Linked DNA regions of Oryzias latipes. The protein of the gene in region 2 purifies or fractionates together with the protein of the main gene of each other region. This does not show direct contact. Links are inferred from orthologs where the notes say so. Each region holds a gene or a part of one and is shown on either strand. Other genes may lie near its edges.

Evidence for each region.
Region 1: the proteins of lamtor5 (region 2) and slc38a9 purify together in Homo sapiens (co-immunoprecipitation; 5 studies listed by BioGRID and IntAct, with this or other methods). This does not show direct contact. The link is inferred for Oryzias latipes from reciprocal best matches to the Homo sapiens genes LAMTOR5 and SLC38A9.

What each region holds. Positions count from the first base shown.
Region 1 is NC_019870.2:27,098,914-27,102,731, reverse strand, and holds part of slc38a9 (sodium-coupled neutral amino acid transporter 9), read right to left. Parts: intron 3,163-3,818; coding exon 3,044-3,162; intron 2,930-3,043; coding exon 2,866-2,929; intron 2,744-2,865; coding exon 2,650-2,743; intron 1,814-2,649; coding exon 1,643-1,813; intron 1,329-1,642; coding exon 1,269-1,328; intron 967-1,268; coding exon 775-966; intron 564-774; coding exon 456-563; intron 147-455; coding exon 40-146; intron 1-39.
Region 2 is NC_019865.2:10,897,115-10,901,709, forward strand, and holds the start of lamtor5 (ragulator complex protein LAMTOR5), read right to left. Parts: upstream 3,077-4,595; 5' UTR 2,938-3,076; coding exon 2,903-2,937; intron 2,814-2,902; coding exon 2,752-2,813; intron 959-2,751; coding exon 841-958; intron 1-840. UniProt on the Homo sapiens protein: As part of the Ragulator complex it is involved in amino acid sensing and activation of mTORC1, a signaling complex promoting cell growth in response to growth factors, energy levels, and amino acids.

The DNA.
Region 1 (3,818 bases), on a different chromosome or scaffold from region 2:
GGTTTGTTTTCAAGGACTTTGATGACGGAGACGGCTCACGTTGTTCTCCTGATGCTTGTTGTTCTTCATCAGTGTGATGATGCAGTTGTGGATGAAGAAGGCCAGAGTGAGGACGCCGGTCAGCTGTGGGAAGAGCGCCCTGAACTCTGAAACAGGAGGAGGAGAGACCCCACATCAGCTTCAGGACCACCACAGTGCTCCAAAAGGTTGGGCGGCCTGATCAAACATATTAAATAGAATGTCACTGGCAATTAAATATTTACTGTTCTTTATTCATTCTGTCTTGTAATGGTCAAAAGAGCACCTGAACTACTTGTTTTGCTTGTCTGACATTTTGTCTATAAAATATATAAAACAAATAAATAAATAAAAACGTCTCCTCCACGCCAGAGGGAGAGGCGCGATCTCCGTTCAGGAGACATAAAAGAGCGTTCCATCATCTGCACAGGATTTACCTGGAACATAGAAGTGGGTGGGGTCAAACCAGTGGAACTCCAGGTGAAAGCCGAGGCGCACAGCTTTGATGGTGACCAGAACAATCAGGTAGACGACAGAAATGGTTCCTGGAAGAGACGATGTGAAGTGATGAAGCCGTCACCTGGCTAGCCTCCAACCAAACAACTGAAACGACGTCCCTCTGACCCGTTAGACTCCGCTCAGCATCAGAAAAAGCAGGTCTGAACGGATAAACGCCACGCTTCCTCCATGTCTGCTCCACATAAAGTCTGAGGGAAACCCGCTCCAGCTAACCCCATGGATCTGGATCTGTCTTACCCAGGAAGGTGAAGCGGGCGAAGAAGGAGGCGGAGCGGAAGCTGAGCAGTGGGAGGAGCAGAACGATGAGGTAGAGCGGGACCGTGTTGGTTTTACTCCAGTAGCGCCCAAAGGAGATGTCGTTTCCGGCATCGCCGCCGCCGCTGCCGCAGTCGTCCCCCTCCGGGTGTATGACCGGGTACGGACAGATGACTGCAAACCAAAAACAACGGGATACCGCATCAGTCCAAGCAGACGCAGTCAGCCAGCGGACCGGTACCGGTCCAAAGGACACGGCAGCAGAGAGAAAAAAGTAACATGTTTGTTTTGTCTTATCTGATCCTAAAGGACGTTTTATTTTTGAAAAGTACCAGAAAATGAGTTTTTAAAACAAAGGAAGTCCATACTAATAATCAAAACTATCAGAAAATATTCCAAAGAAAAACAAATGACAGTCAATGCCACTAAGTAAGATTCATGTAACGATGATTTAGCCGTTCAAAAGGAACGCTTACCTTGATCGGAGCCGTTGTTTCCAAACTGAGAATCTGACACGTTGATGTTGTGAGCCTGATCTGCAGACGACACAGGAAATCTGCTTTCTACCACAGAAAAACACGATGAGGCCTAAAGGTAAACGTGGAAGGCCAGCCCCCACCCCGCCCCCACAAGGTACAGAATTACCATGACAACAAGAAAGGATGTGAAGAACTTCAGCACCTAGAAAACCATCCCAGCATAGAACCATTCTAACGGCAGAAACTTTCTCCGCCTGCAGGAAACTTTGATATTATTATTTTGTTTATTTGTGTGTGTGTGTGTGTGTGTGTGTGTGTGTGTGTGTGTGTGTGTGTGTGTGTGTGTGTGTGTGTGTGTGTGTGACACTCACTGTAGATAAACTGCCCCGTGTTGAACAAGAAGTTGGACATGAGGACCCAGTAAACCACCATGGCTCCTAAGAGCGACACCAGGGAGAAGAGGAGGCTGGACCACTGGCCAAACTTTCCAAAGTAGTGCCGACACACGTCCGGAAATTCCCAGTCTGTGGTATCCACGCTTTCTGAAAAACAAAGGTCTGCCATTTCACGTGGAAAACATCCGATTCAAGGACCTGAAAGGTGAGGAAAATCCTAAGACTGTCAGGCAGCATCTGCTCTGACGAGCATTCAGGCCCAAATCCTGTAGAACCGTCATGATTTTCATCTGAGACAGCAGCTGTTGAGGACTTTCTTTAAGCCCCCCCCCCTCCATTCTCAACTACCAGAACCGCCAAATGTTGCAGCTCTGTTGAGCCATGTACAGAATATTATTGGGGGCGGGCCGGGGGGGTATTTTGATGTTGAAAAATGTTCTTTAAATCCCACCCATCTATCCATCTGGCCTTTTTTTTTGGTTGGTATCGTCATCAAATCAGTGCTGGATCCATTAAACAAAAATGTCAAACCTGTTTTTGTTTATTTTTTCAATGACAATGTTTATCAGAATTTCAGAATTAGGTGTTGAATTTGGTGATGAAGCGTTTGGCACCGACATACGGGCTAAACTTTATGAGGACAAACCCCCCCTCAAATGTTTTACTGGATCCATTAGGCTTCCACCAAAGGAATATTTTCCAAAATGAACAGAACTCCAAGTAGAACTGATCTGTGGGTTTAAATAAACAGATTCACTTGGAAAAAGAGGCTTTAAATTTGGTTTCTTTTAGAAAATTAACTTTTTTTTCTGGGTTTTAGGATTTCTCCGTTTTGGCGTTCGACTCGTGGTGAAAACAGAGAAAGGTTGGAGTTTCTTTGTTTGTACTTTGGACTATTTCTGAACCAAACAAATAAAATCAAACATCTAGCATCTGATCACAGTCTGGCCTGAATGCTGACGGGGGGGGGGGGCCTGACTCACTGATGGTCCTTGGCGACTTGAGGACGATGTAGCAGCAGTACAGAGTGAGCAGCCCTGTGAGCACCAGGATGACGACTCCCAGCGTGAAGCCAGCCTGCAAGCAGAGTTCAGACAGACAGGAAGCCTTCAGGCGTGCAGAACAGAAACAGGTTTCCAGCTGCTGAGCGCGCTCAGACGGCAAAAGCCGCTCCATGGGGTGGAACTAAAAGACGTCACCTGTTTGATGCCCCACGGTATGCTGAGAATGGACGTCCCCATCATCGTGTTCCAGATGGCGAAGCTGCAAAACCAGAAGGAACATCAGAGCTGTGGGAGGAGGAATATGGCGCTTGGGGGGGCGGGGGGGGGGGGGGGGAGGGGGGGGGGGGCGGGGGGGGGAGGGGGGGGGGCTCACATGGATATGAGGCTGGAGTTCTTGGAAGTCTGATCTCCTTCTGGGATCTTGAAAGCGATACCAAGAGGACTGTAGATGTAGATCTCCTCAGGCTGTGGGACCACATGGTTTGGGGGGCTCTGGGAAAAACATCAGCAGAGGGGGTGGGGGGTCAGTTGGAGCCAAACTGATATTGATGAGCCTTTGAAAGCTGTAAAGTCATCATGATTTTCTGTCTCTGTGATCTGACAGCATCCTGACATCAGCATAAGAAACAACGACCAGAAAAAATGTCATCTTGTTTTAATACTCTGACACACATGGAAGCGATTCTGTAGCATAATTAAAAATAAAAGTCAATACTTCAAAATGCTTTTTCATTTTCTACTTAAAAACCGCTTATTCTGTGTCATAATTAAAGCGAAAATGCAAAGAGGGGATCGCATTTTCATTTTCACATCCACCCTGCGAATAGTGTTGCATAATTCAGTCGACTTAGCATTTCCGGAGGGGAGGCGGGGCGATGACGTCAGTGCTATAACCGTGTGTCCGGCTGCTAAGAGACTTATGCGAGGAGCAGTGCGGCCAGGCTTGTAGCTTTGTGTTAGCGGCAGAGGAGCTGTGACGGTTGTGAACTCCTGATGAATTTACACAGCTTCTCAGGACTACGTCGCAGCATTTCTGCCTTCAGACGCACCGCGTTCCGTCGAAACTTTCCCCAGGACTAGCTTTGTCTTCGGACCGGCAGCCGGATCGCCGAACGGAAGTGCTGCTACGCAGATCTGAGATACTCTAA
Region 2 (4,595 bases):
ATCAGTCTACACGTGTGGAAGCAGCAGAAGAGCCACATTTCATTAATCATTTCTGAGCTCATCACATATAAAAATGTAAACATTTTTCCTTTGGCTTAGATAGAAAAAAGAGATTTTAGACACTATATTCATTTTTTTTTTATTTGAGTATAAATTGAGTTGGTAATTTCATAACTATATAGTTGTTGTTTTTGTTTGTTTGTTTGTTTGTTGTTCAGCTTCATTAGAAGTTTTTTTTTTTTGGTGTTGTGCTACTTAGACAACAGGATTGAATTCTATTTACTTGTGTTTTTGGTAAATTTCTAATTCCAAATGACAAAGTCCATTTCAGAGGTGGGAATTCCACTACATTCAATAGTTTAAAAGAGTCCAGAAGGTGGCAGCATAGTCCAAAAAAATAAATACTCAAATCCAGGTCTGCCTATATGATTATCCATGAGTCTAACCCTCACAACCACTTAATCCTGGATAATATGGTTTGTTTTGTATCTCACTGTTAAGCCACTTTGAATTAAATCATCCATTAAATGACTTAAATGTACAGTATTGAGGAGGTGGGGAAATTATTATATTCCAACATCCGGAAGTTCCAAAAGTCATGAATAGTATAGAGGAGCCAATACTCAGAAAAATAATTAGGCATGGTCTCCCACGTGACCAGCAGGTATAGAGGATGCTCATCTCTGCTGCACCTCTGTGGCACAGAAGTTGAAGCTGATTGCACAGCGTCTTGGAACTCTTATTTGTACACTTCCACATTTAAAACTACAAAGGCACACCTTAAATGCACTAAAACTAAGAAATAGAAGAAGTTGTGCAAAGGCACAGTCCATGGCTCACCCTGACTCGGACTCTAGGCACACAGTCGGTGTGTCCGTCAGGTCTCTGGTGAGAGCAGCTGCTTGTTTAGCCAGAACAGACACCACACCTCCATGTTCATCTGACAGAGATCCACGACCTAAAAAAAAAATATGTCAAAGACCCGCTCTGATGAAAATTGTGTTTTAAACATGTTCTTTTGGCATTTTTCTGATGATGGAGAACATATTCAAAAATGCATTTTTCAGGATTTGTTTATTCAAATCGTTGTGAATCAGCAGAATCCAGACTAGATCCATGGACGTCTTTGTTTTTCTCATCCGAGCAGTTATCGGGTTAAAAACTCTAGGACTGTATAGCTCTGATACTGCTCGCTATTTTTGATGTACCGCTAATGTTAGGCTTGGGGTCTGAAGGGCTGAAAGCTAGCAGGAGAGCATGTAAACAGTAAACAGATGAGTGACGACAAGTGGGCTTACTTCACGCCGACAGTCCTGCTCACAACTCAAGAGGTGAATTTTTAAAAAAACTAGTGCTGCTCTGCAGAAACTTTGTTCTGGAAAATGACTATTTTTTTTGGGTCAAAAACAGCTTCATCATAAATAAAAGACTAGGAATGCTTTTGAAATAGATCAAAAGATGATCAGAGTGGGACTTTAAATGATGACCTGCTTTAGATGCATCCTTCTGCTCATCAGATCAGTTCATTTGGACTGCAGTCTTTATTTAGAATTTAACTTTTTTCTTAAAGTAAATCTGATTTCACGTTTTTACAATGTCAGAGCACCAACAGTGTGATAATTTAACATGTAGCTTTAACATCTGGCAGCAAAGGTGTAATAACCAGCAGCAGATCAGACCACCACAGTGAGCCAGAATTCTTTGCTATGTTTGCTGGTCTGAACTGTTACTATCATATAATAGATCAAATCAGTTTGCCTCAAGAGGAAATTGTTACTTATTCAGTTGAAGACCCATTTTTAAATTATTCCGACTCAGGTCTTCAACACGGAAAACAGTCGATCAGTCATGAGAGCCAGGCATGTCCAAAGTCCGGCTTGTGGGCCAAATCCGGCCCCCTTTCAAATTTTCACCGGCCCGTAGGCTCCTACATAAAATCAACAGAACGCGTCCTGCAACAATATCTAAAAGCTGTGTGGTTGGCTAAATCAGACTTTATAAACCTGTGGAAACACTGTTGTGCGACCCTTTTGTGACACTCTCTAGCTCTTTAAGGGTCAACCTCTTAAAGGACAAATGGAAAATTTGAACATTTTTTCAGTGAAATATAAAACAACTGTGTCTGCCTAATGGGCCAGAAGACTGTGGCTGTTTTCATGGAGTTCAATATCAAGAGAAACTACCAGATAAGACATGCTAATACGACAAGCTAACTGTGAATGAACTGTGCAAAAAATATACAAATGTGACAGTAATTTTGGTAAAAACGTAGTTAGATGTCTGTTTTCTATGTGAAGACTGTCATGTAATCATGAAATGTCATGAAAAGTATCCCATTGCAGTATATTTAATTTAATGTGTTTCAAATAGTTCTAAGATTCACTGCAAATATGGGCCTCTTTGGAAAAAGTAACACATCCCGTTATGTAAGCAAAGGATGTCTTTAGGAGACAGATGTCTACACATGATCTGCACTGACCTAAACACTATGGGTCTTCTTTCTGAGTTACATCTTTGCCTCTCTCACTCACTGGCAACATTTCTCTAATGAGATTAAAGACTAAAACATCAGAAATAACAACATGATCTCTCATAAACAGCTGGCGGTGGAAACTTGTGTTTTTGGGGAAACTAAACTGTTGCGGGAATTTATTTATTAGCGAAACTGACGAACTAGAGAATATCGACTACGGGGTACTTCGTGAATAAATACATGTGATGTGACTTCCTGTTAACTCTGAAGAGTCTTACAGCCCAAGTTGTGTCCTTGTTGGTCCGTGCATAGAACCCCAACAACAGCTGGATTTTTCATGCTGCAGAAAAAACACGAAATCAAGAGAATTAGCCAAACGAATGTACGAAATGTAAAGAAACAAGCTAGTTAGCATAGATTAGAACTCACGTATCGTCAAGGTGTTGTTCGAGGGTTGACTCCATCTTTAGAAAACCGTAAAAAAATCAGAAAATGTAAAGTTCTATGGCCCAAAAATTGTATTTTTTGTTGTTGACGTTTGTTTCCTTAAATTCCTCCTGACAATCATGTGACTGTGACGTACAGTAAGAGACATCGCCAGGGTCAAACAAGACGAAGCGCGAACGGCTGAGCCAACTCAAAACTACAAAACAACCAACTAAAGACAGACTGATAACTGTATCTTTTAGTACAAATTAAAAATAATTGGTTTTCAGTAGAATAGAATAGAATAGAATAGAATAGAATAGAATAGAATAGAATTGACGGCTTAATTCAAATAAATGATTTTTGGTGTATTTTTTAATTCTTGTGACATTTTTCTGATGATGCAGGACACATAAAAAAAATAAGATTAAAATTGCATTTCTGAGTATTTCTTTATTCAAATCGTTGTGAATCAGTAGCATGTGCAAAAATGCCATTTGAAATATCCTGCAGATCTGACGTAGAAGCTACTACAAGCTACTACAACCAGCAGCATTTTCCATTATGATGGATTGGCTTGTAGATGACTAGATCCTTGTACATCTTTGTTTTCTTTGCCAGAGCTGACATCTGGATCAAAACGGTATGGCTGCATAGCTCCAATATTGCTAGCCATTTTTGTTGCATAATTTTAGGTTGGGGGCTGTGAGGGGCTGTAAACTGATGATAGGAAGCAGGGATTGGCTTAGTCCTCGCCAACAGTCCCGCCCACAACTCAGAGATGAATTTCTAATGAACTACTGCCACGCTGCAGAAACTATGTATGTCCCTGAAAACGACAAAGGTTTTTTGATTTAGCCTAAAAGCGGCATAGTTATAATTAAAAGACTACCGGTACTGGAAACACTGAAAATAGATCGAATGATTATTGGAGTGGGACTTAAACTGTTTATCTTACTGCAGTGCAGTGGCGGTTTTTGATATGGTCGATGTGGGCGGTCGCCCAGGGCGGCACTTCATAGGGGGCGGCATTTGCCGTTCCTGAGGCGTTACACATAATATGCTACATACTAAATTCAAAGAGGAAGCTTGGAGCTTTTAATTTGAAATTGCTTGAGCAGCCGACACTTAATGCTTTTATTTAGACACATCAGACTCTAAAGAATGTCTTCCTCCTATTTGCTCTTCACACTTATGGTGCAAAAAAAAAAAAAAAAAAAAAAAAAAAAAGAATACCTCAGAGTGAAACAACGTAAAACCGGCACATGAAAATGAATTAGGCAGAACAAACATCCGTGCTCAACCCAATTTCGAAAAAAGCAGGCAATGGAGATTATTTCCCACAATTCTTTGCTCCGACACAGCAGACCCGATGCGCACGTGACCACCGCCCTCTGCTGCAAGACGATTGCGGCCACACCTCTTTGTAGTCTTTGGAACATAAGTCAAAAAACTCGAGAGGGGAGCGCAGCTCGCCGGTGGCTGGCTGAATCACACTAACAGGTGATTGGGGGTCTTTTTCTATCTGACAATCAACTCTGAGCCGCAGCTGCGCGCTGTCGTCATGGAGACGGAGCCGCGTGTGTCAGAGGGAAGGGGAGGGGGAGGGGGGATTAGATCAGACCATTTTTTTAGGATTGAGTTTTTTTGGAGGATTTCTGCTGTTGGTGTTGCACAAATTTAGGGAAATGCCAAA